Linked DNA regions of Tamandua tetradactyla. Each later gene encodes a partner of the first gene's protein in a complex. Links are inferred from orthologs where the notes say so. Each region holds a gene or a part of one and is shown in the gene's direction. Other genes may lie near its edges.

What was found.
Region 2: SEH1L (region 1) and NUP43 share a complex: the UniProt entries of both Homo sapiens proteins name them as parts of the nup107-160 subcomplex of the nuclear pore complex. The link is inferred for Tamandua tetradactyla from reciprocal best matches to the Homo sapiens genes SEH1L and NUP43.
Region 3: SEH1L (region 1) and NUP37 share a complex: the UniProt entries of both Homo sapiens proteins name them as parts of the nup107-160 subcomplex of the nuclear pore complex. The link is inferred for Tamandua tetradactyla from reciprocal best matches to the Homo sapiens genes SEH1L and NUP37.
Region 4: the proteins of SEH1L (region 1) and WDR59 are in contact, whole or in part, in a cryo-EM structure (PDB 7UHY), measured with the Homo sapiens proteins. The link is inferred for Tamandua tetradactyla from reciprocal best matches to the Homo sapiens genes SEH1L and WDR59. Residues at the interface, in NP_112493.2 of Homo sapiens: Asn308, Tyr309, Met310, Asn312, Lys314; in NP_085058.3 of Homo sapiens: Pro713, Asp714, Glu716, Thr717, Pro718, Arg721, Arg837, Glu840, Gln843, His844, Asn847.

What each region holds. Positions count from the first base shown.
Region 1 is NC_135344.1:76,895,274-76,902,924, forward strand, and holds the start of SEH1L (nucleoporin SEH1), read left to right. Parts: upstream 1-4,649; 5' UTR 4,650-4,778; coding exon 4,779-4,889; intron 4,890-7,018; coding exon 7,019-7,069; intron 7,070-7,651. UniProt on the Homo sapiens protein: Component of the Nup107-160 subcomplex of the nuclear pore complex (NPC). The Nup107-160 subcomplex is required for the assembly of a functional NPC.
Region 2 is NC_135328.1:141,295,548-141,302,450, reverse strand, and holds the start of NUP43 (nucleoporin Nup43), read left to right. Parts: upstream 1-3,890; 5' UTR 3,891-3,940; coding exon 3,941-4,060; intron 4,061-4,369; coding exon 4,370-4,492; intron 4,493-5,474; coding exon 5,475-5,552; intron 5,553-6,903. Other genes in the region: PCMT1 (protein-L-isoaspartate(D-aspartate) O-methyltransferase), read right to left, coding at 1,058-1,271. UniProt on the Homo sapiens protein: Component of the Nup107-160 subcomplex of the nuclear pore complex (NPC). The Nup107-160 subcomplex is required for the assembly of a functional NPC.
Region 3 is NC_135333.1:172,275,081-172,282,362, reverse strand, and holds the start of NUP37 (nucleoporin Nup37), read left to right. Parts: upstream 1-4,279; 5' UTR 4,280-4,368; intron 4,369-4,374; exon of another isoform or gene 4,375-4,555; intron 4,556-5,610; 5' UTR 5,611-5,674; coding exon 5,675-5,833; intron 5,834-7,282. Other genes in the region: PARPBP (PCNA-interacting partner), read right to left, coding at 480-632. UniProt on the Homo sapiens protein: Component of the Nup107-160 subcomplex of the nuclear pore complex (NPC). The Nup107-160 subcomplex is required for the assembly of a functional NPC.
Region 4 is NC_135342.1:69,496,579-69,503,436, reverse strand, and holds the start of WDR59 (GATOR2 complex protein WDR59), read left to right. Parts: upstream 1-3,854; 5' UTR 3,855-3,935; coding exon 3,936-3,989; intron 3,990-6,858. UniProt on the Homo sapiens protein: As a component of the GATOR2 complex, functions as an activator of the amino acid-sensing branch of the mTORC1 signaling pathway. The GATOR2 complex indirectly activates mTORC1 through the inhibition of the GATOR1 subcomplex.

The sequences.
Region 1 (7,651 bases):
CCTTTTGCTCAAGAGGATTTCCTCAATCCCTTGATGCTGGGTCTCAGCTCATTCTAGGGTTTTTCTCAATCCCTTGATGCTGAGTCCGAGTTCATTCTCGGATTTCTGTCCCATGCTGCCAGGAAGGTCCACACCCCTGGGAGTCATGTCCCATGTAGACAGGGGGACGGTGGTGAGTTTGCTTGTTGTGTTTGGCCAGTAAATTTTATGCTTCCTAACTGGCTGCCGTAGACAATGTCACCGGACTAGCGTCCTCAGGGCTGGCCCCTGTCCTCTTGTGCACTCTCTGTGGTACAGGCAAATCCACACTACAGCTACAGAAAAGCAACAGCCAAAAGAGGGAAAACTTCCACTTGTGAAAACACATTTTCTAAATAAGTATGGAGCTAAATAGCAAACAAGAACTCAAATGACACACTTCAGAAATGAATAGCAAAGATTGCTATTCATTTCCTCAGAGGAAAATATACAAGTTTGATATTCCTAGGAAATAAGATTGAAAGCAAAACAAAGTAGGAAAACTATAAATATCTGAAGAAAGTACTAGTACCAATAAAGGTAAAATGGACATGAATGAAATAGGAAAGGAAAAACTAGGAGACTTGGTCAGTAGCATCCAACTTATCAATACTAATATAACAAGCAAACCTCTGGGAAAAAAATGAAGAAGTGCAAATAAAAAACACAGTGAGATGTCATGATGCAACCACCAGAATGACTAAAATGAAAAGATGACAAATATCAAATGTTGCTGAGACTGTGAAGACATAGGAGCGATCACACACTGCTAGGATGCTGTAAAGTGGTTCAACCACTCTGGAAAAATTGTTGCCAGTATCTACTAAATATGAATATGTGCATCCTCGATAATCTGGCAATTACTGTCCTAGGCATTATGTCCAAGAAAACAGCACATTTACGCTCACCATAAGACGGGTACCAGAATGTTCACAGCAACACTATTCTTAACAGATGTAGACTGGAACTTAATCTTATGCTCATCAGTAAGTTGATGGGTGAACATTTGCAAAATAGGGATGAATCTCCTAAATACAGAGTGGAAAAAGCCAGGGAAAAAAAGAGCATATACTGTACAATTTCATTTACATAAAGGATAAAACTAGGTGAAACTAATCTATGCTGCTAGAAACCAGGATAGAAGTTATCTTTGGTTCTCTTTGACCAGAAGGAAGCACAAGGAGAGCTTCTGGGTTCATTCTGTGGGAAGCTCTGTGAGCTGTAAACTTATAACATGGGCACTTTTTGGAAAGTATATAATACCTTCAATAAAAAGTTTAAAACATTAAGAAAAAAAAGGAAGACAGAAGCAAAGTAAACAACAAAAAAGCATTACATCAGACATGGAGGGGATTTTTAAAAAATTATAAGAAATTATCATGTATAACTTGATGGTGTATAAATGATTTTTTAAAGAAAAATAAAGATGATCAATATTGACTTGAGAAAAGGTAGAAAATCTGAAGACCAATAACAAAATACATTTGAACTTTAGTTAAAATCAATAACCTCCTTAACAGCAAGGCATGACGCTTATATAATTCTATGGATATAATTTCAAAATGTTCACAGAATAGTAATTCCCATGTCATTTGAACTGTTCCAGAGGAGAGAAAATATGAAAATTTCCTAATCTCTTGTGCCTGGTTAAAATAATACAGAAACCATAAAAGGACAAGAACAGCACGCATGCAAATGTATATGCAAAATATATACCAAAAATATTTTTAAAATATCGAAGCAAAAATTCTAAATATTAGTGAATCACTAGCAGTGTATTAAAACAATAATGGTTTAGCATTCAGAAATTTATTAATGTATTGATAAGAAAAAAGAGATAAACACTAATACCTAATGAAGATTCCTAGCAAGCTTGAAATAGAAATCCAACCTTTTGAAAAGTTATGCCACATTAGAAGCAGTTTCATTAACATCAGGAACAAGAGAAGCATGATTACAACTATTATTCAACCAGACGTTGCTACTGGAATGGAGGAGAAAGAGAGAAATCTTTTCCCCCCTTTCTGTGGTGACATCTCAGCTGCAGCTGTGGTGGCAATGGGTCAGCCTGGCTATCCTGCTTCCTGTGGAAGCAGTGGAATCCTAAGAGTTGCAGGAGCAGCTGCAGAGGATCTAGGATCCTCAGCTGCCCAGAGCTCGTGGGCACCGGCTCCTTCAGCTGTTGCCACTGTTAGATGCCTGCCGCATTAGCTGGACAACTCTGCTGCTGGCTTCCTAGGACAGTGATGAAGATTCCAACATCAGTAATCTCAGAGGTTCAGTGACGGCAGGCCCTGGGTAAAACTATTTTCCCTCTGTTCCAGCCCTAAGAAGTTTCCTGCAGTTACTACACTCTGGATAACCTCACCTGTTCCCTTTTTGCCTACTTAGCCCTTCCAATACATTTGTAACCATTTTCCTGTGTTAAATTTCCTGTTTGAAATAGCTAGAGTACATATCGTTTTCTTGATTGGACAGTGAGGGATACAAAATATCTATGTCATTACTTGCAGCTAATATACTTATTTATCTAAATACCCAAAAGAATAAATGTAGAAGCTAAGAGAACTAAGACTTCTATAAGGGAACAAACACAAAATGAACATATGAGATTTAACAGGTTCCTTATAAGCAAGATAGGAAGACAGAGCCCAGACACATGGCCAGGAAAATTATAAAGTTTTAATAGAGCAAATGAGAAACATGCAAAACTATATTAAGAAAAACTTCAGAACTCTAATGAAGCACACGTCTACCTGAATGAATAAATGAATCATGCCTACAGTGATCTTTACATGCTTGCCCATTAGCAAAGGAATGTTTAAATAAACCACAATTCAGCCTTAATTTGGAATGCATAGGTAAAAGACTGAAAGAATGAATTAGACCCACGTGGAAAGTTCTCCAAGATTTATTGGATACCTTTTTTTTTTACATGGGCAGGTACCAGGTCCTCGGGCATGGCAGGTGAGCATTCTTGCCTGCGGAACTACAGTGGCCCGCCCTATTGGATACTTTTTAAAAAGCAAAAATAGACAAAGTATCAATTTAAAAAAATCCAATGACATTTCAACATTTCTGTGTACTAGTTATCTCATATGCTAGTACTAGGTAGCTATATGCAAAACCACAGAAAAAGTGTGCAAGAGTACACAGTAATAATGGTTATCCTATGCAAGGGAGGATAGATCCTGGGGTGAAAAGGAACTTTAATTTTTACTCTATATACACGTGTGGTTTAACAAATGTCTTACAATAAACATTTAGTCTTATACTATGTAACTCTAAAAAAAGTCTCATAAAGAAAATTCCAGAATGTCTAGATCATCTCCCTGCCTCCCTTTGCAGCTTTCAGTGAAATCCATCAGGGAACAGCTGGGACTAAGTGTTTTGAAAACTTTCTCTCCTGCTGATCTCATCAAGCCTCGAATTCTTGTCATCCCTGGCCATAATCCAAAATACAAGCCCCTTCCGCGGACTCGTTTTCGATTTTTTTTCCCCTGGACTTTCTCTCCCTTGACCCAATCTTCCAATGTTTCCTTTCTTAATTAATGTTACCGTATTCCCTCTGCAATGCCTCTCCCTGAATGAAAAAATCCCCTAAATCTTTAAACTCTTTGTAAAAATGTTCCTCCACTTGTTGGTTCAAGGCTTCCTCTTCTTATGGGGCGTTTTGCTCATTTCCCTTGTTTTTCCGTTGAGGACTCTGGCTCCAGGGTCGAAAGTCCTCCAATTCACTTTGGATCCTGCAAACTGCGTAAGTAATTTGTTTCCACCCCACGAACCCGAATTTCTAAAGATCTCATCTTCTCCTTCTTGGGTCTTACTACCGCCCCCAACCTGCTCTACCCGAGGTTTTAAATTCAAATACACACACACACACACACGTTCTGCTACCGCCCCCAACTTGCACTACCCGAGGTTTTAAATTTAAACACACACACACGTTCTGCACGGGCAGACACCGGGAATCGAACCCGGGTCTCCGGTATAGTAAATTCAAGTATCTCTGCCTACTTCCTACTTCCGACCCTTTCCGCCTTCACGCTCCCTCTCACTACACCTGCTCCTCGACCCTCTTAACCTTCCTGCTTCACGTCTCAGCTGTTAAGGCGGACGCCTCGGCCCGCCTCTTCCAGCACCTCTGCACCCCGTCCTGCTCCAGCAAAGCTTCACTGGGACCGAATCTCCGGGGAATCTTCCTAGCACGTTTCTGGGAGGAAACGCCGAAATGTGGACGGGCATTGACTCAGGGTGGAGGACTATGCACTGTATTTTATCTTTCTCATCTTCCTTAATTTCCAGATCTTCAACAAGGAGCTCTTATTATGTAAAACAAAATAAGACGCGTCCCTGGAAGTCGCAGGAACCTCCGACCACGACTTCTACAGGTCTGATTCAGGGACGCAGACCCGGAAGCTGTAGCAGCGCACGCAAGGCATGCTGGGGCCGAGGGGCGTGCCTAGCCCAGAGCGCAGACGCGGAAGTTCCGGCGGAGTTCCCCGGGCACGCTGGGGCCGAAGGGCGGGGTGTGGCCCAGGCGAAGACGCAGCGACGCCCTACGGCGTTCGCGGGGCATGCCGGGGTGAGGGGCGGGGCGCGGTGGCGCGCAGCAGCACGCGCACTTTGCGCGCGTCTGCGGCGGGAGCGCGCGAGGCGTCGGGACCTCGGCGGGTGGCGCGTCCGCACGCGCTAATGCGCGGGGTCTTTCCTGGGGGGCGCATAGGGCCAGCGCGGTAGGCGCGGGCCCGGCGGGCGCGATGTTCGTGGCTCGCAGCATCGCGGCGGATCACAAAGATCTCATCCATGATGTGTCTTTCGACTTCCACGGGCGGCGGATGGCGACCTGCTCCAGCGACCAGAGCGTCAAGGTGCGCACGGAGGCGATGCCCGAGGAGGGGGCGCTGGGAGCGGGCGTGAGCCCCGGGGTCCGAGCAGGGAGACGTTGGGGCGGCGACTTGTCGCGTGGAGGGCTTCCCGACTCCCTGGCGGGCCTCCGCGCTCGGGACTTGGAGCCCAGGGGAGGCGGATAGACCCTCCCTGGCCTGCGGCCGCCATCTGCCCAACATAGGGCTCCACGGTCGGTCGCATTGCGGGGTCCCGGCTGCCCCGTGGGGCGCGCTCCCTGTGCGCCTGCGCGGATCGGCTGGCTGAGTGGGCGGGGCTGGCGGATTGGGCGGGGCATCCTGGCCACGTGGGTGCTCCCGCCTCCTCCCGGCAGTCCTCCGGCCTCTGAGCCTCGCGCCAGTGTGTAGACAGAGTTACTTGCTAGCGTTAGGGTCGAGTACCTCATAGCGGCGTGTCAGTCTGAGGAGTACCTGGCAGTAGGTGGCCTAATCCACCGAATTTGTTCAATGAGAGGGCTGGGCGAGGGACTTGGAGGAAAGTATTTTCCATGGTTCGAGTTTTAGCTGCGTAATCCTCACTTGGGCAGACAGTTCCCTATTTGTGGTGGGAAAAGGAACTTCATATTTTTCGCGGTGAAAGAAAAATTCGATGTAGTTCTGTACTCTGTAGGAATTGGCATGTTTGTAAAGCACTATTCTGACTTTTTATAATATGCGGATCGTATTTGGGATTTAGGGAATCTGATAGGAGTTATCGGGGTGTGATAGTAAATCTGAAGAAGGAAGCTGGAGTGTGGATTATTTATATTCTCCACTATTCCAAAGGCAGGGTTTTCCTTCTTGCTTTTCACACTGAAGTTTGTTACCAGTGGTCTGAAAGATAAAATTATAGCAATTTTACTTTTTTGAAAAAAGTACCGCCAAATCCATCCAATTACAGCTTTCGAAAGGTTCACAACCATTTTTAAAGATTGTTAATGGATTAACTATGTAGTAGACCTTTTGGGGAAACATTTCTCATATATAATCGTCATAAATTGACCTACATGAATAATCTGCAGATATTAGTTAAATAATGAATTTGTAGTCTATATGACAACTTGGGATCAGTTTTACTGGTTTATAAAGAGATTGCATAAGAATGATGTTTTTCCTTGAAAGAGTTTTTAGGTGGGAATTATATTGAATTGCAGGTGTATATATTTCGGTAGTGTTTCATTACTTTGTGACCTTATGTCCATTTTTTCCAGTGTACTTTTTCTTACCGAAGGGCTCTATTTATTTATCTACACACACACAACACACATTTGTATTAAGTTGTGCAAGTAATATACTTTTTCTTTTTAGGAGGAGAAATTATTTATAGGCTTACTGGTCACTTATCACTCGTTGAGATTTAGTGATTTCTTGGCCTTTTCCTATAATGTTTTTAATAACTGTCATGGTAGTAAATATAGGTAAATGTGTAACTTTTTCATGCAAAAGTATATTTTCCCCCATTATTGCATGATCATTATTCCCAATGGCTCAATTAATGTCTAACTAAATAGGCTGTTATTTTTTCATTATTCACTTATTACCTGATCCTTCAGTAGATCTTTCAGTGGGTAGGTTTTCTTTCTCAGAAAGAATGTTGCAATGAAAATCTACATTAACTTAGCTTTTAAATATTTTGGGTAATTTCCTTAGGCTAGTTCTGGATAAAAATTAGTGACTGTTTTGGGCTTTTGAAAAGAGTTGGCAAATCATCTTTTTTAGGTTGTACCATTTTACACTGCCAGTAAGATTACTGATTTAAAAGCTTCATAGACTGTTGGGCAAAATCATTTTTAATAGGTTAAAGTGGCCCCTTGTTATTGAAATCTATATATTTTTTGTTGTTTGTTAAGTCCAGTGTTCTGCTGTAATATTTATTGTGTATGATGTACATTGTCTGCATTGCATACTAGAGCTTGAGCTGTCTGAGGCTCAGTGCATAGCCCAGTTCCTGACACAGCCGAGGTTCTCAGTAAATATCTCATTGAATGAATGAATGCTTGCATACACGTATTCTTTTGTGAATTTTTTTTTCACATCCTTTTCCTGTGTACTGGTTTCTAGTCTTAATTTGTAGGAATTTTTCTATAAACTATCTGCATTTTATTTTCTTACAGGTCTGGGATAAAAGTGAAAGTGGAGATTGGCATTGTACTGCTAGCTGGAAGGTTAGTATTTATTTCTATGGTGATTGAGGAAAATTGAAATGTTTACTATTTGATAGTATCAATGACTCGCTGTTCTTCCTAGAGAGAATTTATAATTCATTTCCTGAAAAGATGCTATGCATTTTTTTACCTGTTAAAGTAACACAAATGCATTTCATAAAATTGAACAGTAAGAAATTTATAATTCTGTAACATTTCAGTATAGTTTTTCTTAGCACTTCAGCATATTCCTTTGTTCCCTTTTTTCCTGTACACACACATATTTTATTAGAGCATTTGTAGGTGTACAGAGAAATCATGCAGAAAATACAGAGTTCCTTCATACTCTCCTCACACACATGTTTCCCTGTGTTAACACTTTTCCTTAGTGTGTGGATTTCTGTATGGTAACTTATGTACAACGTAAAATTTCCATATTTCTCCCTTTTCAAATGTACAATTCAGTGGTGTTAATTACATTGCCAATTCAGTGGACTTGGCAGCCTTGTCAAAAATAATTTGGTCAAAGATGTGAGGTTCTATTTCTAAACTTTCAATTTGATTTCATTGGTCAATATCCTTGAGCCAGTACGATGCTGTTTT
Region 2 (6,903 bases), on another chromosome or scaffold:
ATTTTTAGGAAATGTTATGAGTATTAAGTTATTTGAGAGGATTAGAAATCCTCAAGAAGATTAGAGAGTTGGGAGATATGACAAACACATGAAAAGTTAAATAACATGACAATTAAAAATACCACGTGACAAAATATGATTATTTGCAAAATAAGCGGCAAAGAGAGTGCTATAAGCTCTGATTAGAATGAGATCATTATGGACAGCAGTCCTGCGGATCTTGCGAACAGACGGCGACACGATATTTCAACTTAAAAAAAGAAAGTGACACAGCATTCATCCCACCCTAAAATTATCTTCAGAAGAAAGAATAAAGAGAATGGTATAAAGAAACTTCCATACAAGGTTGTTAAAGCATATGATACTCCTGAAAAAAGTTAGAATATTCACACACACACACACACACACACACACACACACACACACACACAATCGTTTGCTGGGTCCCAGGACCCCTAAAGGGTCCTGAATACAAGTCTAGCAAAAACAGCATGCCCTCTCTCATCCTCCACCCCTCACAAAGCACTGCACTGGGCAGACGCCCGAGAAATTTCTCCCAGCCTCTTCTACGGCAATATTCTCATCTTCCTCTCCCTCCCCTCGCCTATATCAGACGGTGGCATCTTCCTCCAGGGGAAAAAGCAGAGGGCGGGGGAGGCAGAACAGGAGGGAAAGCTTGCAATGAGGTCGACTTTAGAGCAGAAGGAAAGCGAGAAAATGCGGGGGGCAAGGCTGGGGTCCCCTCAGTCCTGCCCAGCTTCCGGAAGCCTGGCAATACCATCTTACCCCAACGAACGCCCCCCGCCGCGGGACTCAAGACAGCAGGCGGCTGACTCCGCGGACAGCCTCCGCCCCACCTGGGCCACCCGGCCCTCCACGCCCCCACCTCTCCTCCACGTCGCCGTTAAGTGACAGGTCTTCGTCGGAGGAGGCGGGGGGAGGTCGCACACACTAGCAGTTAGGGAGCTGAGGCCCTCCGCAGCAGGGGGACACAACGTCGCGGCCGGACCGGGGTCAGTCCAGGCCCGGCCGCCGGTGCGGTGGAGGCGGCACTTACTGCGGAGATTGTGGATGAGCTCCGAGTGGCTGGCGCCGCCGGATTTCCAGGCCATCGCTAGGCACACCCGGAGCAGGTACAGAACCACCTTCAGCGCGGCGACGGTGCCCAGCAGCTTCCCCAGGAGTGACACCACCTCCCACACGGTCACCACCCCGCCCGCGTCTCCGCCGGAGCCGCCGCCGCTGCTGCCGCCACTGCGCGCTCCCGGCATGCCCCGGGGCACGCATGCGCCCTGTGACGCCGCGCTCTGGGCGGGGCCGGGTGGGGCCGAGGAGGCGCCTTCCCAGGACTCCCCCGAGGCTGGATGGGTGGTGCAATCTCCCGAGTCTCTCGCTGCGCATCGCCTTTCCTCGGGCTTTCCTCTGGTCGATCCTGGAGACCCTCGCTCTTGTCCCAGTGCAGAGCGATTTTGCGGCCGGTCTGCTTCACCACGGTCACTGGTAGTTCCGCAGTCGCCTCTCGGTCAGCTGTTGCGAGCCACGGGGCTGCTCCTATAACTGTCCACGTTGTTAAGCGGTGGGCTTCCCCCGCCCTGCCTCACCCAGCCCAGTAGCTAGGGTAGAACCCCAGCTCCGGATGGTGGAGTCTGTAGGATCTGACTCGGGCTTGGGACAGCGCTGGTTAGCAGAAAGCTTGCTATCCTCGTTTGTTGTCACTTCTAAAGCACAAATTCAGACAGAAAATTATATCATGATAAAGGATGTAGGGATTGGGTGTTTTGCCCCTTGAAACAACGCACATTTGAAGATCTACAATTGGTTAAAAATCCCACAGTATGCTGAAGACTCACAAATTCCACCGTTAGACTGGGCACCGACTTTGTTGCTATCAGCTCTGCAGACGATGAGCGAGAAGCTGTCAGGGAACATTGCCTGTCTCAGACAAAATGCTGACTCCTGTATCTAATCACAGTCTGATTGGAAGACAGCCCCTTGGATTCTCCTTTCTCCAAGTGATGAGCCCACAACTCCCTGTCCCAACCTGAGAACTCAAGTTGCTGCTTAGGTTTTTTCTACAAAGCTGTGTGATCTAAGTGAACCCAACCCCTGACCTCCATCTTTTCTCTCATTTCCTTTCCTTTATAATACTTGTTTACTCCAGTCCTTCTCCAAGCCCAGGCTGTGACAAAGAAGGGCCCATTCTGTTTCTCTTCATCTCATCTATTCATCACTCTCACTGGCACCCTCTCTTCCTGGGAAACACATATAATTGTATTGTCAGGTGTGGGGAATGAATGATCTTTTTCCCCCCAGATACATTCTTACTTATTTGAGACATCTGATTCCCTTAGAATCCTGACCCTTGATTCAGGGGGGTGGCTTGCAAAAGGGGAAGGAGTGCAGTCTGGTACCCTTCTCCTGCAGGCCCCATGGGGTACTATCTAATAAATATTCTGAGTATGGAAAAAAAAATGCTGACTCCTAATCAGAACCGAGGCTAGTAGAACCCAACCATCACTTGGTCCAGTACACTTTTAAGGAAGGAAGCAAAGCTATACCGAGACATCTATACTACTGTGCCAGTTTCATTGTTCAGGTTCTAATTCTTAACAGACTTTGCTAAATGTGACATGAATCTGATTTCCAACCTGAAATATACTTAGACCTTACCTTTTTTTCTGGCATCATGTGATCATAAACACTCAAAACAGTGTGCTCTACTTGAATATTAGAAATAAAATGGTCAGTTTGGAATTCTAATAGTTTGCCTTGCTCTCTGCAACTTCCTGATGGTCTTCTTGTTAGGGGAAAAAAATGTCAAGTCATTGATAGGAACCTGATAACTCTCTAAAGCTGGCCTGGGTGGATTGAATTCACATGTGGTGATTCCATAAGCTGTAGTTGTCGAATAGGACTACCAGATAAAAATAAGAGCAAGAAAGTATCATCGGCGTTCTAAAAAAACAGGAGATACAGTTATGAATACCTATAATGTAAAGGAGATAAAAAGATGAAGAATTTACACCTCTTGTATGAAATTGGATTTACGTTCTAATTGAGGAGATCTGTGCCAAAGGAAAACTAGCAATAGAAAGCAAAATATAAGTACCATCAGTGCTGTAGATAACCAGTGCTATGTTTATATAGATCATCATGGACTGTGGTAATCAGGAAAAGATAGCTGAAGGAACTAATGCTTGAAAGGTGAGCAAGATTCTGGGAAAGGAAGAAGAATGGATGTTATAGGTATAACTAAAGGCACAGGAGAAGGAACCTAGAAAACTAATTCCTAGGCTGTTGACTTTCGATATCACCATATTCATTCTTTATTAATACGTAAATGAATTGACCAGGGTTACAGCTAGGCAATGGGCTGCAAATTAGACCTAGAGTCTTAAGAATTCCAACGCCGGACTCTGACAATGTGTTATTAACAAATGTGAAACAAAAGATTTGTTTGGGGGCAAAGAGGGAGAGGTTTTGATAATAAGTTGGTGCATTAGTAGAGGTACCTCCGTGAGAACGGTAAGGATCTTGCGTATTTCTATACGCGGTGAAGTGCAACTGAATACTTAGATATCATTACAAGGTGGTTTCTCCTGCACTGATTTTGGTTTTGCCCTTAAAATTCATTTTACATTGCACACTTATTGCACAAATACACTCTCTCAGCCTTCCTGTAGTCATTTTGCCGGTTAAGAGCTGACCCTACAGCACAAAACCGTAAGGCACCCTTGTCAGAGCCGCCCCTGCTAGCTTGGGTTGATAGTTTCCTACCGGCCACCCCTGCCAGCTTGGGTGCTAGGACCAATCCGGTCTTCTTCGCCCAAGGAGGAAGATTGGCCCTCCTCAGACACCATCCCATCTATGTCCCATCCAATCAGGGTGAAGGACAGGGCTTAGAGCGCGCGCGGCAGTGCTTGCCATTTCTGCTTCTGGCATGGAGGAATTTTACGCCAAGTTTGTGTCTCAGAAAATCAGCAAAACCCGTTGGAGGCCCGTGCCCCCGGGGAGCCTACAGACCGCGGAGACCTTCGCTACAGGCTCTTGGGACAACGAGGTACCTCGACCCTAGCGACAGCCTTTCCCCACACTTGGGCCCCCTGCATCTGCGGCCCGGCCTCCCGAGCCAGTTCTCGCCCGCTAGCTGTTCCTACCTTCTCCGAGTCGGGGGACTATCTCGGGCTCTGTTGCCTGGTGCTCAGAGCCGGCAATAGAATGCCTGAATGTCGTACCTCTTAATGGTCTGAACTTAACCGTTACTGTTTATTGAGGTGATTTTGATGCAAGGTTGCCTGAGGGCGTACGAATTTTAATTTCCCAGGGTTGATGCTTCTTTTGCTTCAAGACAAAACTTTCTGCTTTACAGGAAAATTATGTTTCCCTGTGGTCTATTGGAGATTTTGGAAACTTGGACTCTGATGGAGGTTTTGGAGGAGACCATCAGTTATTGTGTGATATCAGACACCATGGTGATGTCATGGATTTGCAGGTAAGTCTGTGTAGTATCTACGAATTGTTAAAACAACTGAGAGATACACTTAAAGATAAAAAAAAAAAAAAAAGCATCATAAAAGGTACACGGGTGGTTCAGTAGTAGAATGCTCGCCTTTCATGTGCGAGACCGGGTTCGATTTGGGGACCATGCAACACCCTCACCCACCAAAAAAAAAAATACCTTAAAGTTTTTTCTAGTCTCACCTTTCGTTACAGCCTCTGTGGGCTGAATGATTTTGCTAACGTCATAAAAGTATATAGTGGCAAAATCAGAACTCAGGCGGGAAATATAGATTTAATCACAGTTTTTTATCAGTTAACCAGCTAACAAGTGCCAAACACTGTTTTGGGAGCTTACACAAACTTAACCCTCGTTTCACGTCTGTGAATCAACTTTTGTTATTTGTTTTACCAGTGTGAAAACTATATGCTCAAGAACTTCTGTTGAGCATATATGCCTTTTGACAAACACTGGGCAAGGCAATTTACAAGGTTTTGCTTTTTGAATTCTCCCCCCCCCCCCCCCCATAAAGAAATAAGCGCTCCCATTTCAAAGGTTTACAAGCCTTGGAGAGCTTAATTTATTTGTCCATTGTCTAAGAGTCAGTAGTAAGTGATAGGGCTGGAATTAAGTATAGAATTAAGTCTGTATAACTTTAACATCCCTGTATTTTATTCTATAAAAAACTGTCTATCCCTGGAAATATTTTTCTAAATCTTTATTGTAATGGCTAAAAATTAAATCAGTTGCAAGCAAAGGAGTTTAGGGAAAAAATGCTGTTATTTATTATTCATGAAAATAGTATTATTTGTCTAGAAGTTTTTGCGTCTTAAATCTATTATTGCATTTTATTTGCTTAGCATACACGAGCTCTCTTTAAATTTGTTATACAGTTTGATACTGATTGAATTGAACAAATGGGTTTCCTCCCTACTAATGTTTTTGAATCCATAATAAGCAGCATTTTTCTACTTAGTTTTTGGACCAGGAAAGAATCGTAGCAGCTTCATCAACAGGATGTGTAACTGTTTTCCTTCACCATCAGAATAACAAGGTAAAGAACCTTTTGTTTGAAAACCACATTTGTGTTTTAATTATTTGGAGGAAGGTTTGCAGAAGACTGCTTAGTAATCATTACAAATAATTAAACTTCACAATCTCAAAACATGCTGGAGGGAAATCCACTGTTACTACAAAACTTTTGGTTGTTTGATTCTGGAATTATCTTTCTATGGCCTTTTATTGAACTTGGATATCCCTTAGCTTGTTAAATAAATTCTGTTAGTAGTTTTGACCTAAAAATGTGATATTCCAGTAGGTAATTTTGCTGTAATTCTGCCTTATAAGTTCTTTTGAAGAAAAAAAGAGTATCTTTCAGCTCAGATGCCTTGAGAAAGGAAAAGGAACAGTTGCTTTGCTTAGCTTGATGGATCCCAGGTTTTAATTAGAAGAGGATACACTGTTTGAAGACTGACTTTTTCTCAATGTCTTTCTTTTTGCTAAAGCCCAAGTGTACTGACCTTCACAGTTCCATGGTGAGGGCAATTGTTAAAAATAGCTTCACTTGCAGTAACACAGTTTGAAGTTGCTTATTTAGGTTTGGAGGTTAATAGAGGTATTGTTAATGGGTATGGGTAGCACATCTGGCTAAGTATTTTCCTTAATGGAGTCATTTAGAAAGAGCTATTGAGATTTATTTCTTAGATGTAGCCTAATTCCCATTAGAATGTAGAGTTGCTTTTGAACGCACAACTACTTGATACCCAAGGACCATTTCTTTATTTGACATAAAGATTGGAAACATTTGTTTTGAATCTAATTAAACGTATGTGAAGCTTTGATGAGAGTAATTTCTAGACATTAGTACTCTGAAATACAAAGGAGAAAGGAGAGCATTATTTTTCTAGAAAGATGTGAGACAGAATTTTTTCTTTTTTTTTTTAATTGTGGAAGTATTTGTGTAACAAATCTTCACATTCAAAGCTTCCCAAACATTACCATTCAGTGGGATTAATCATATTCACAATATTGTGTACTCTCACCACCATCCATTATGATAACTTTCCGTTTCCCCCCCACAGAAAACCTGTACTCATTTTGCCTTAACTCTTCATTGCCCCTACCCTGTATCCCTGATAACCTGTACTCTACTTTCTTTCTCTGTGAGTTTACATATTCTCTGATATTTTCTTTGTGGTTACCATAGGGCTTAAATTTAACATCTTAAATCTATAATAATCTTGCTTGCCTTAATACCTACTTAACTTCATTAGCATACATAAACCGTGTTCCTGGATCCCTTACTCCTACATCTTTATATAGTTCTTGTCACAAAGAATTGTGATTCCAAAACCATTGATTTATGATTACATTTCATGCATTTGCCTTGTAGATCTGATAGGAAT
Region 3 (7,282 bases), on another chromosome or scaffold:
CCTAAGATACTTTGTGGTTAATTTAAATAAACATTTGTAATGTGTGCTTTCTAGAATTGCTTTTAGAGGAGAAGGGAAGTAATAATTTTTAACCATAATAGTTGCACATCTATCTTAAGACATTTATTATGTCAAATGTACATGCTCCATGTTAAACTGTACTTATGAAAGCCTTAATTTTTAAACAAATCATTTCAAATAAAATCTTAATATTTTGTGGCACACATATATATGCAGAGGGATTTGTGAAAATAGTATATCAATATTATCATAATATAACAAAGAAATTAATGTAATTAAGATTATTAAAATATGCAGTAGCCGAAACTTAATAAAAAAATAAATGAACCTAGTGGTTCAGCGCTAGAATGCTCATCTTTCATGCAGGAGACCAGGGTTCAATTCCCGGACTATGCAGCCCCTCAAAAAATACAAATAATAAATAAAGAAACAAAGAAACCTACACACAACTTACTAACCTGTTTGTTGTTCTCTGCCATGGAAAGCTGCAATATCAGGAGCATGGAGTCTGCACCACATACAGTAGTTCTCTCAGAGGTACAAAGGGTGTGCCAGTTCCTTCTAAACGCTTTAATCATGTTCAAGATAGACTTCTGATAATGCACAGCCATCCTCTTAAAGTAGAACAGAATACAATGTTGAAGTGTCTTATTTTAATTGGAAATTAATATCTAACATGTGCAAACAAGCAGAGTAAAAAAAGCAGTGAATGAGAGATCATCTCATATCTACCAAAATGGCTTTTAAATTTAAGAAAACAGAGTAATATAATTCCTGCCCAATCACATTTTCCTCTCATTTAATTTTCTTAAGCCAAATCATCTGAAATAATAATATCCAATCCTGCCTGAAAAGTCATCCAAAAAAGTACACAAATTTATAATGATAAAGCAAGTGAAACACAGCCTGATGGAGAAGTAACATGGAACTCCAGCCGACAACCAACATTAACTCACAAACACACAGTGACGTGATTATCCAGCTCCAGTCAACCTGCCAGACGAACTCGCCACATGAGCAATTCCAGGCAGGACCAGGAGAAGAACGACCTAGCTGAGCCCCATCTAAAGTACCGATCCACAGAATCACAAGCACACGAGCTGCTAAGTTTTGGGGCAGCTTTTTACACCAGCAACAGATCACAACACAATGGCTAATATTTAGGAGCTGTTACTTGATGCCAGGAATTTTTCAAAAGTTTAATATATTACCTCATGCAATTCTCACAAGAGGTGAGTACATTAGGCAGGTACTATTATCTTCATATTACATCTGACAAAATTGATGCCTCATGTCACCTGGCTAGAAAATAACTGAACCAGACCTAAACCCAAGATGCCTAATCCCATAAACTGTGTTCTTAAATCATTATATTGCATAAAAACCTCTGATACAGACAAAAGCCTTTCAAAATAATTAGATGCATTTCTAATGTTTTATATACCCAAGCCTATTGGACAGCTAATTTCTTTCATACCCAAGCCTATGAAACAGCTAATTCCTTTCTTTGATTAACAGACATGTGCTAACAGAGTTTTTCCTTCTTTCTTTACCAGTTTAAAATATATTCACATGTCCATCATCTCTTTTGGGTATGGTACTGTTCTCATCAATTTACTGACTTCTAAATCCCAGGCACCCTAGGTTTGCATGATCAAGAAAAAGAGCATATACCATTTACAAAATGATAGTTTAAATTATAGATATAACCAGTAACACAATTTAAAATACAGGTAAAAGACTTTATGTTAAAATAGCCACATAAATACAATCCCTCATAAATAGGTAGGAGTTATATTTCCCTTCAAAATATCACTCTCAGCTCTTAAAAAAAATGAGTGATGTAGGCCCCTCTCTCCAGCCAACCCAATGAGCAGTCTCACCACCCTACCACTCTCTAAGTGGGACATGATTCCCAGGGGTGTGGACCTTCCTGGCAACGTGGGGCAGAGATCTTGGAATGAACGGAGACTCAGCATCAAGGGATTGAGAAAAACCCTAGAATGAGCTGAGACAGCATCAAGCGATTGAGAAAACCTTCTCGACCAAAAGGGGGAAGAATGAAATGAGACAAAGTGTCAACGGCTAAGAGATTCCAAACAGAGTGGAGAGATTATCCTGGAGGGTTACTCTTATGCATCAAGTAGATATCATCTTGTTATTCAAGATGTAATGGAGAGGCTGGAGGGAACTGCCTGAAAATGTAGAGCTGTGTTCCAGTAGCCATGTTTCTTGAGGATGATTAAATAATGATACAGCTGTCACAATGTGACTGTGCGATTGTGTCTGATGCTCCTTTTATCTACCTTGTCAACAAAGGAGAACATATGGAATAAAAATAAATAATAGGGGGAATAAATGCTAAAATAAATTTAGTTTAAATGCTAGTGATCAATGACAGCAAGGGGTAAGGGGTATGGTATGTATAACTTTTTTTTCTGTTATCATTTTATTTCTTTTTCTGTTATCTTTTTATTTCTTTTTCTAAATCGATGCAAATGTTCTAAGAAATGATGAATATGCAACTAAGTGATGATATTGTGAATTACTGATTATGTATGTTGTTTTGTTTTTAATTAATAAATTTAAAAAAATGAGTGATGTAAAACTTCAGCTTCAATGATATGATCATTTTGCCTAAAATAAAACTTCAGCAGCAAATTAGTTACTGGCTTTAGAGATATTATGAGTCCCAATTGCTAAGAATGAAGATTCTTGTGGAACCAGACTCTTCTGGAACCTGGTTCCAGAACTTACTTGCTGTGAAATTTGGTCAAGTTAGGTCACCTCTCCCTGCTTCAATTTCCTCCTACTGAAAATGAAAATAATAGTTCGTACCTCATAGAGTTTTGTAAAGAGTAAATGACATATAAACAAGTAAAGCTTTAAAAGAACAGTGCCTGGCACAAATAAGAGCACATTAAAAGTGAAGTATTACATTATGAGTTTCTAAGTTGCTTTGAGTTAAAATTGAATGGACATTATTATTGGAGACAAAAAAAAAAAAAAAAAAAACAGTATTGTCCAGGAGTCAGGAGTTATTTGGAAAGGGCCAAGAGCAAAAATGTGAGGTTTGCAGGTCATGTGATCTTTGTCACAACTACTCAACTTGTCCTTGCAGTGTGAAAAGAGCCATGGACAATTCATAAATGAATAAGCATGGCTGTGCTCCAACAATACTGATTTACAGACAGTGTCCTTTGAATTTCATATCATTTTCATGTGTCAAAAAAATTATTCTTTTAGTTTCTTCCCAGCCATTTAAATACATAAAATCTATTGTTTACTCAAGTGGTAGCTGCACAAAAACAGGCAGTTCAGCCCATCTGCCCATCTCTTGTGAGCTTGGGTGACAGATTTACACCTGGCTGCACAGCGGAGATATCACCTAGAGAAGAGGCACAATACTCTCCTCACTTACTCACCTTCCTCGCACTTGAGAAGAGTCAATGAGGCACGGAATATGCAAACACTCTGAATGACAGGCTGCCCTACACAAAAACAGTAGAAGAAATTGGTGGCAATAATAAATACTTGCTTTAAAAAACTGGATTAAAGCTGCGCTGGAGGAAAAACTGTGGGGCAGGTGAATGTCACTGGGCGGTAGTGCGCGACGTCTGAAACAAGTACACGTTCGAGTCGGATAACCAGGTCCACCCCAGCAACTCCATCTATTAGCTGTACGTCCTACACTATGCAAGACCTCTGATGAGCCTCAATGTCTTAATCTGTGATCGGGGAGACAGTTCCTGGGTCGTAGTAAGGTCGTGAGACTTTGATGAGACAAGTACATGACCCAATGAATGCTACACTAAACAGGTCCTCGATAAGATACAGGGAAGCGTTGTCAGCAGTCAGGTGTTCCATGCTGTCTGGGGCGATGTGTATGGGGTAGCAAAACCGGAGTGGGAGCCCGCACGCCTCGTTTCCTCTAACTAGGGCCTAGCAGGTCCTTCTGGGCCTCCATCCCGCCCCTTCCAGTTCCCTCGGGGACACCCGACGTCCGTCCGCAGTCCTCAGAGCCAGCCAGGCGGCAGCGCCGAGGCCCGCACTTAGCACCGCACACGGTGAGGCGGTGCTCTGGTGTCACCGAAAGACCCCACAAGGTTCCGGCCCGGCCCACCAACGCTGGCAGGGAAGCGGGGAGACTCACCCGCGCGGGCTCCCGAGGCGAGGCCGCGCCTGCGCGCCGGCCCCCGGCCACGCCGGGATTACATTTCGAATCTCGCGGGAGGGCGCGGCAGCCAATCGCGGCGCTCGCCCTCCGAACCGGAAGCAGAGCCGGCGCGCGGCGGCCGCCCCGCCCCCGCGGAGGCCTGTTCGCTGCGGCCGCGCTTCGCCCGTCGGGTTGGTATCACGCGGCAGCGCCGAGGCAGCCGGCTTTGGGACGGGAGGTGTCTCCTCTGTCCTGGGCGTCCCATCTCTGTCCTCCGCGACCGCGGGCAGGGAAGGCGGGATCGGGTGCCGCGGGACTGGCCTGGGTGGGAGAGCGGCATCGAGGCTCTGTGCAGGGCCTTCTTCCCGGCTGCTCCAGGTGTGGAGGGGAGGGCCCAGCCCCGCGGGCGCTGCTGTAGGGCCACGGGGCCGGGATCGGAACGACTTTCCTGACCTCGAATCTTTTGCACCGCTGTTTCTGTGGGCGTCTCCCCTGCTGGTCACTCTTAACCATGCCAGCCCCGGGTGTCCACTCGTGAGTTTGCCAGCTGCTTCTCGGTCAATACTCATCAGGCCTTGGATGCGTTCATTTCTGGGTCCGGCTGTTTTCAGGAGCATAAAACTCTTATATCCAATTAAAAACAAACAAAAAAACCTAAAACCCGTAGTTCTCATTAGGGAATACTACTCTGTGGCCAGAATACACGTTAGGCCCGAACAGCTTTGTTGAGATTTTGTACTTGGCTTTATACCAGTGTATCAAGTTTTGGCACCCTTCGGGATCCGAGGATGCTTTGTATCTCCTTGTGTTAGAGCGCTTTTCATGCAGAATCATAACTATCCCTGAATGGTGACCGCCTTCAAGGCTGAGGCTGTTTTTCTTCACTTGCCCTAGTGTCCAAAATATAGTGAAGTCTTTCTGGCTCTGCTTGCTTATAAGCTTGGAAAGTTGTTGAACCTCCTAAAGCCTCAGTTTCTTCATCTGTGACGTGGAGACCACACATAGTATTTCCCTCTTCGGTTTGTGCAAATATTAAAAGTGGTAATGGCAGTAACGTGCTTTAACGTGGTGGCAACAAATAGTGCTCAGCTATTCTTTTTTTATAAATTTATTTAATATCAATCTGATTGTTTTTGCAAGTACTCAACATACGGCTTAGTCATACAGAATTTTATGGTGATTTCCTCTGCAAGTATTCACAAATATGGAAAGGAGAAAAGCTACGGAGCAAGTGTTCTACCATTAACTATTTTATCTAATTTTTTTCTGCTGCTTTGGTCCCTTGATAAGTACTTCAAATGTTTCATTCCTTTTGAGCTTTGTACCGCATTGCAATACCACATCCTTGCAATACTACATCCTTATTCTGATTCATTTACTGAAAGACATATTTAACTATTTCTAATTGAATCTATTTCTGCTGTAATTCACAGGTTGGTGACCTTGTCCCATAGAAGGCTGTTTTTTTTTTTCACAACTGCTTGAGTTTTGGCATACATGATGAAGCAAGATGCCACCACAAATGCTGCCTACACTGTGGATTGTGAAGATTATGTGCATGTGGTAGAATTTAATCCCTTTGAGAGTGGAGATTCAGGAAACCTAATTGCATATGGTGGCAATAATTACGTGGTAATTGGCACGTGTACATTTCAGGTTAGTTGCAAAGCTGCAATAAATGACAGTGAAGATACTTCACTTATAAACTTAAAAAACCAAAGGTAAATTTTGAAAGTATATTGAGTATTGCATTTGAACATTTAAAAAAAGAAAGATATGCAGAACCACAGAAAAAAACTTTCCCAGTAATATATGTCTGAGGTTGTATCAACATTGACCAAATAGAAAAAGAAGAGGGTGAGGCTCCTCTTTTGCCTCATTATTAGTTATAGCACATTATGATAATTGAAGGTTTTGCGAAGTTGAACATTGGTATGTTTAAAAAAAAATTAAATGGGATACAATTAATTACAATTTTTACTACCTTCCACTTTGTCATGAAACATTTTAGGCTAATATTAAAAGCCTAAAAACTGATTCTCTGGGAGATTTTATGGCTTTCATGAGATTCAACTTTTCTATTACTATGCTCTCCTACTTTTTATACATTTAAAGCGTGCATCTAGAGTATACAAAGTATGAGATCTTGTTACTTGAGCATACAATTCAGTATAGTCATTAAGAGCATGCTCCCTAGAGCTGGAATACCTAACTTTTCACTCCTACCCACTTAACCTCTGTGTGATCTTGACAAGGTACTTAACTTCTCATTTCTAAGAATGGGTTAAATAATACTTAATTGAGTTTTGGGAGGATTTCATGAGTCACTACATGTGACATTCCTAGATTGGCATCTGGCCAATTGTAAGCAACACACAGAGTCTAATTGTCATTGATTTGGGGCAGTGATGACACTTAGGTGCAGCCCTGTATTTTTCTCACAAAAATGTGCTACATGTGAGAGAGACTTTGATCAATGAGAGTTCAACACTCAGAATTTCTGGTTAATCCTTTGCTAGCAAAAATATTATTCAGAAAACCATTATTTCTCAAATTCTGATTAATCAATGACGTTAATTTAACAGGCACCAATTTTCAAAGATTTAAAGTAACTTTATCACTAAAGCCATTATAAACATTATTTCCTCTTCTACTCAGCAGCAAATTCAGTATCGTATAGTGTTGTGAAATAAAAAATGCAGTGTATCTTTTTACACTATTATACAGTAAATGTGTAAAGCTCTACAAAATTGGACTGGATTCGTATTTATCCTAAGGGGAAAATATAAAGTATAAATTAAAGATTTCAGTTTGTTGGTGTCTGAGTATAATATGAAAGCTCTTACATTATCCCATATTATTTGTTTGGGGTTGGGAGAGGAACTTCCAGATTTTAAATGGAATACAATCCTCAGCCAGACTTCAGCTGGATACTAGATTAGGAATCATATAATGTTGAGTAAGGTGATTGCTATAATGTACTCTTAAAAAAGGCCCAGGGTCCGCAGGCAGTGTTGGCTCATTGGCAGAATTCTTGCCTGCCATGCTGGAGACCCGGATTCAATTCCCAGAGCCTGTCCATGCCAAAACCAGAAAAAGGCCCAG
Region 4 (6,858 bases), on another chromosome or scaffold:
TTTCCACATAGCAACAGGTATCACCTGAAACCTGCAGCCTCAGATTAGTATCCTTTTGTCATTTGTTGCATCAAATCCTGGGTGTGTTTTGCTCCAACTTTCCTTGTGGGATCTTTTTCCCCCTTTGGGTAGTTAATGGCTCTGGAGAGGGTGAAAAGTAATTTTGGAAACTCTCAACACAAGGAAGTCAGATACAGAAATGGTTCCAGCTAGATTTGGGACTTCTACTTTTTAATCTTCATGTTCTCACAGGCCCTAGGTGAGCTGCTTCTTGGCTTTCCTTCAGCTGTGGCTGTGAAACAGGGTTAATAAACAGCTGATCCACCTTCCAGAACAGTCAGAAGAAAGAGCTAATGAGATCGGTTGCCAGAGCTGTTTGCAAGGGTACAACAAGGCTGCAAAGCCCTAGATATAAACATCTCAGGGAGAAACCGTTAAGCCTGGGACTTGAGCAGTTCAGAAGGTAGGAGGCATAATTCATTAGTGCCTGTCTGGGGAAGAGTTGGGGAACCAGTGGCCTCTCTCTGTCTTGAGCACTAGAGGGTTGGGACAGCATTCTGTAGCTTTAAAGTGAGCCCCAAGCACCTCCTCTGAGGATGGGCAGATGTTCCCCAGTGCCCTCTCAGTCCTCTAAAATTCTTTGCATTTCCATCATTTTACTTGAAAAGGGAACATTTAAACAGAGAAACCAGGGTATTGAGCAACCAAGTACACATAGCAAAGAGGCAGTGTGGGCACGTCCATAAATATTTGGTGACTGGTGAAGAGAGGGTAATTACTAGTGGGGTTCAAGGTGGGGATCCAAGATTCCCAGCCATAAAGGGCTGAGGGGTCAGCTCTCTCCAAATCCTGCAGAAAGATAAAAGATCTTGTTCAAACTTGCATGACTAGTTGCTGATAAAAGCCATAGGAGGCCCTAGATTTCTGGGTTTGCTAGGTACCCTGCTTTCCTGTTGCTTAGCTAGCAGTGTCCTTCTGAAAAGACACTGCTTGGTGAAAAGGGCCTTGTACCAAAACCAGCAAGTGAGGTTTGCTTGGCAAGGGACCGCAAAAGACCCCAGTCTCCGATTTAGGCAGGATGTTCTTGTGCGGATCTCAGAGGTGTACAGCCAAGAAGCAGCAGCCTGAGAGTTCTAGATTTAGCTCCAGAGTCCCCACTCCATCGTGGTGACAGTGTGGGCAGGAAATGGAAAGAGGGGCCTGAGGAGGCAGTTTGAAAGGTGCTCATACTCCCTCTCTCAAATTCTACCAGGTCCCTTTCACATCTTTAAGAAAGAAAACATTGAGAGAACAGAGAGCACTAAGGATTTGAAACCCAAAGTACTTTCTGTGCCTACAAACCATGACAAGCAGATTTTTGAGAACTAGACAAATGTGAACTAAGGAGGAGGGGGAGGGTTGCAGGAATGCTCAGGCGAGGGCAATCCTGGTTTGGGTGGGAAACATCTACAAAGCTATATGTGGAAAAACAGAAAGGGAGCTTTGGAAGCTATATGTATTTGTCCAGATTAAACTTGAATGGGTAAGCCTGGCCCTTTACAACTTTTCCAGCCTTAATTCCTTGCTACATTCTGCCAAATATCCTAAATTATAGCCACACCTGACTATCTGCTAATCACCCATCCATCAGAGACTTACTGAGCAACTACTACGTACCATACAAAAAGCAGATAAATAAGGATGTGGCGTGTTAGGTGAATTAATTTATTCATTTATTCCTATGAGATAGCATAAGCTTGTATTAGAAGTATTCTTTGCCTTTATTTTCTCCTGCCCCTGGGTTTGACTTGCAGTCTTTACCCTTCCTCACTATCCGAGCCGAGACTCTTCTCTCTAGAACACTCCACAGACTTTGGTAACGGAAACTTGGGAGGAATGGGAGGCAGAAAAAAGGACAGTACAGGATGAAAGTCAGAGTTTGAGGAGTGTTTCAGGGGCCATGGTGTGTGAGCCTAGCTGATGGGTGGATGGGAAAGAAAGCATAGGGGATTAGTTTTGGTTGCACAGAAGTGTTCTTTGACCTTGACTGCACTCCGGGGTTATGACTTTATAGGCTTTTCACACTCATTCATTGGACAGTTTTCATGGAGCATGTAGTATGTTAAGGCACTATCCAGGGCCCAACAAAATGGACCTGGTCCCTGTCCTCCCAAAGCTTGAAAATATTAAATAAACAAACACAAAAATCATAAATTAAAAATTGTGATGTGTATCTTGAAGGAAAGAAGCAGCACCAGGAGAGTTAATGTGGGAACTCTTTATGTCTCTGGGACATACCCTGATCTTCACACTTTAGGGTCTTCGTTCAGGCTGTTTATGCTGAAAGACTTTCCACGCTCTATCAAAATCCTAATATTATACTATAAACTCAAACATCACCTCCTTCAGGAAGCTATTTCAAGTTCCCTACTTATGTTGTTCTCTCCTGGAACATTACTTGCAAGTCTATTATAATACACAATTCATTCTATTGTAGAGCAACCAACTGTTCCAATTTGCCAGGGACTGAAGGGTTTCCCTGGATGCAGGACTTTCAGTGCTAAAACCTGGATTGTCCTGGGTGAACTGGGATAAAGTTGGTCACCCTAACCTGTAGAAAGTCCATCTCCCTTTCTTACATCCAACACTCCTAACGGAGGAAGTGGACTGCACCTTCTTACTCTCTCTATTCGTGTAATAACTTGTAAATAGAACATTGATAATATTAACAACAATAAAAGTTTGTGTTTGAGCACTTACTACATTCCAGGCCCTGTGCTTAGCGCCTTACAATAATCAAGTGAGAAAGATCATTTTTGCCTTCTGTAAGAAAACTGAAGCTAAGCCACCCAGTTAAACCAGGGTGGAAATGAAAGGATAGGACAGAAGAGGGAAACTTAATCACCTCCCACCATGCTCTAAGCACAGTGGTTCTCAATTTTTTTTTTTTTAAATCACAGGAGCTATTTATACTCTTAAAAATTATTGAGCACCCAAAGAACTTTTATGTGGATTATATTTATTGAAGGTAACTGTAATTTTTAAAGTTTTATTGATGTTTAATTCACATACCTTGAAAATATTGTATTTGAAATTTAAAAAATTAAAAATATTTATACATATTTCATTTAAACATTAACTCTCATTAGTATAAATTACTTTAAATTTGAAAAATAACTACATTTTACAAAACAAAAAAATTTAGTGAAAAGAGTGGCACATCTCTCTAATGTCTGCTTAAACAGGACAGCTGGGTTCGCCCATCTGTTTCTGCATGCAGTCTTTTGTAATATGCACCATGTAGCCTCTGTACACTGGTGAGAGAATGAAAGTGAAAAAGGGAAATAGCTTCTTAGTATGATTATGTAAATTGTTTTGCCTTTGAAGACCCCTGAAAGTGTTGCAGAGACCCTCAGGGGTCCCTGGACCACACTTTGGGAGCCCCTGCTATACTGTATGAAACAATAAGTCCTGCAGACTTTGCAATGCTTTTACGGCAGGCCTCAGAGCAAAAAGGAACCTTGGGTTTGCACGGATGTTGGATTTGGGTTTCTAGACTGAGCCTGGGACTATGTAAGGGACACCTGCGAGGGGATAGGGCAGACAGCATACCTCCCCTCTGCCCAACCTACCCGCAAAGCTTTTCAAGGCTCACCCCAAGCCCTTCTCCACCTTGGACTACAACTCCCGGCAGAGCTCGCGGCAAGGGGCGGTGCGTGAGTGACCCGAGCTGAGTGATGGATGTGAGAGGGGGTGGGTCTGCGCTTGGCCGGCGCAGTGCCGCAATTGGAGGAGCTGGAAGAGGGCCGGAACCGGTGTGTGAGTCAGCCAATGGTATGCAGTCAGGCGGAGGGGCGGGGGCGGGGCGAGGCAGGGCAGGTTTGCAGGCTGTTTGGGGCGCACCGATCCCCGGAACGCGGGTCTGGGGCTGAGGGCACCGTCCTGGGGTTGGTGTGATGGCGGCTCGATGGAGCAGCGAGAACGTGGTGGTGGAGTTCCGTGACTCTCAGGTGAGCTGGGGGACGAATGAAGTCTCTGGGCATGCGCCCAGTCCTGGTTCCCCTCCCCCAAGGTGCCGGGTCTGTCTTGGGGCTGTGAGGAGACACCCCGGGCCGGATCTGTGGAGATGGGCAAGGGGTGATCCGGAGCTGTCAGATCCAGGAGGGGATCTCTATGACCGTTGTGGGCAGTTGGGGCGGGCACGGTGGGGTTTCGGCGGTCTCCTTGGGGTACGGGGAGTGGAGTCCACATGGGCCACTGAAGCTCAGAGATTGTGCGCGGTTGAGTGCTGAGGGGAGGCCGCCACGACCCGGGCTGAACCTGGCAGAAGGTGTTTGGTCCCGGGACCGCGCCGTGTGGCGTGGGGCAAGTCGCCGAACTTCTCATAGCCTCATCTTGATCGAGTTAACACTGCCTCACAGAGTTTGGGGGAGGAGTCGACGAAAAGTTGCCTGCAGAAGGCCTGTTTCTGCTCCTAGGCTCTTAAACCGTGATAGAGAGAAAACTACCGTGTTGTGAATGGAAATGCGGGCCACTGCGCAGATTACCGGGTTCGAATCCCAGCTCCGCCCCTGGCCTGTCGTCACTCTCCGCGCGTCAGTATTTTTTTCACTCGTAGAAGGGAGATGATTGTCCCCACCTGGCAGAGTTGGCGTGAGAATTTTGAGACGAGAAGCCTGAAGAAACGTTAGCGTTCACTAGAGATTTTTACCATTTTTCTATTCCCGATCTTCCATATGCCAAGCTTTATGCTAAGAGGCTTAGCTACGTTTTATTTCCCCCTAATTCATGAAAGACCCGTGCAAAATGTAAGCGGTAGCCCCTTTTTCCAAATGGGAAAGATGAGGCTGACCCCCAAGGGGCTTGCCCAGGGCCTCATAAAATATTGACTCATTGGGATTCAAACGCAGGGTTCTGGCTCCAGAGCTCTACTTTGTCTATGGTGGATAGCACAGCCTGTCATACATAAATATTGTGTTATATCTCTTCATTTACTTAATACCTATTTATTGAATACTTTTGTGTGCCATGCTTTCATTCCCTCGTTTATTCAGCAAGGATATATTAAGCCCTTACCATGTGATTCATACTGAAATCTGGATTGCAGTGAAAGGGGTGATGTGGTTTTTTTTTTTTTTTTTAATCTTTCTAAAACCCCATTCTCCCTTTTACCATAAATATTAACGAGTGGAGGAGCCATCTACTAGTTTGCTCTAGAGTGCTCTCTGATGTGCAGCCCTCACTGAGAATTTGAGCAGCAGCCTTGGGATTACAGCCTCTTGAAACACTTTGCACTGCCAGCGTGGTATCTCTATGAAACCTGCTCTCCCAAGTGAGGCGCCAGGCTCCTAGGGATAAAGAACCATATTCCTGTTACCTTTCTTGTTAATTGCTTTCACTGGGGACTAGGACAGAACAGAATGATGTATTGTGCTTCCAAACCTGCTAATTTGGAAGCGATTAATCTGCAAGCCCTTTAATTCTCACAGAAACCCAGCTAGTCTCACCCCTACTTGTCTAAAGAAATGTAATTGAAGAAACCTGCAGAGAGGGTGCTGACACATATATTAAGATGTTATGAAGTAGTATCAAATAATTAAACTTAAACAGCAGTTGTCATAGTAAGGGAACAAAGCAATTTAACTGCCTTGTGGGAGTTTCTGTTTTTCCTTTCTAATTTTTCTTTTCAGTTGGAAGGTTACCTCTGTGTTGTGAATTAACATGATTTTGTGGTTGAGTCTTGTGAGGATTAGAAAGGTTGGGAATCCAATTTATTAACTATTTTGCAAATGTAGGAAGGAAAAGTTAGAACTCTTCATATCACCTATCTGAAAAGACTAGAATGATAAACTTTTCGAAACACCCACATCTTTTATATTTTATAAAATATATAGACAAAGAAAAAAGCGATAATTTTCAAAGCCCACTTCAACAATTAGTTACAGAACAGATCCCAGAGTTTGTCATGGGCTACCATTCCACTATTTCAGATTTTTCCTTCTAACTGCTCCCAAACACTGGAGGCTAGAAGGAATATTAATGTAATGATTCAGCTGTCATACTCATTTAAGTCCTGTTTTCTCTGTCATAATTTCTTCTCTTTTGATCCTTCTCCCAGTCTATAGGGATCTTTGTTTTTTGTTTTTGTTTTGTTTAGTTTTTACTTTTTATTTTTTATCTATAGGGATCTTTGGGCACTGCTCGTTCTGATTTTTTCATGTTAAAAAGGGGTGTCAACACTAAAGGATAGGGTTTATAATTAATTGATAATCTTGGAGAGGCTGGTTCCTCTGAGTTTCAGGATTTATCTGATTTAGGAATGCTCCAGGAATTATCGTTCCAGGAAGGCAAACATAGTCCATGAAACCTTTTAGAGGCTCAGTTTGAGCCCTAGGTGTTCTTAAATCAAGACATCCACATCTTTTAAAACTACTTTGTTTTTTAAAAAAGATTTTAGGTTTTTCAGGGAAAAACCTCAGCCCAACTGGTGAAACTCCATTTTATAGTTTATACAAATGCCATCTAGTTCATAAAGCAATGCCTTGAGATAATACCACCACTAATTAATTGTCAAGAATCTGGGCTGCTTGGCAGCTACTCTGAAGTGATCCCTAGAATCATTGAGTCAATGTACATTAGCACTATAAGAAAACTTGGAATCTTCTGGAGCAACACCATCCAATAAAACTTTATAAAACTTTGTATAATGATGGAAGTGTGCCTACCATGCCCTGGAAATGAGGCTAGTATGACTGAGACATTGTGTTTTTAATTTAATTGAATTATAATTCATTGCCACTTAAATTCCCACTTGTGGATATTGACTGTGGTATTGGAAAGTGAAGTTTCAGGTACTCAGAGAGTGAAGGTTAAATAGTT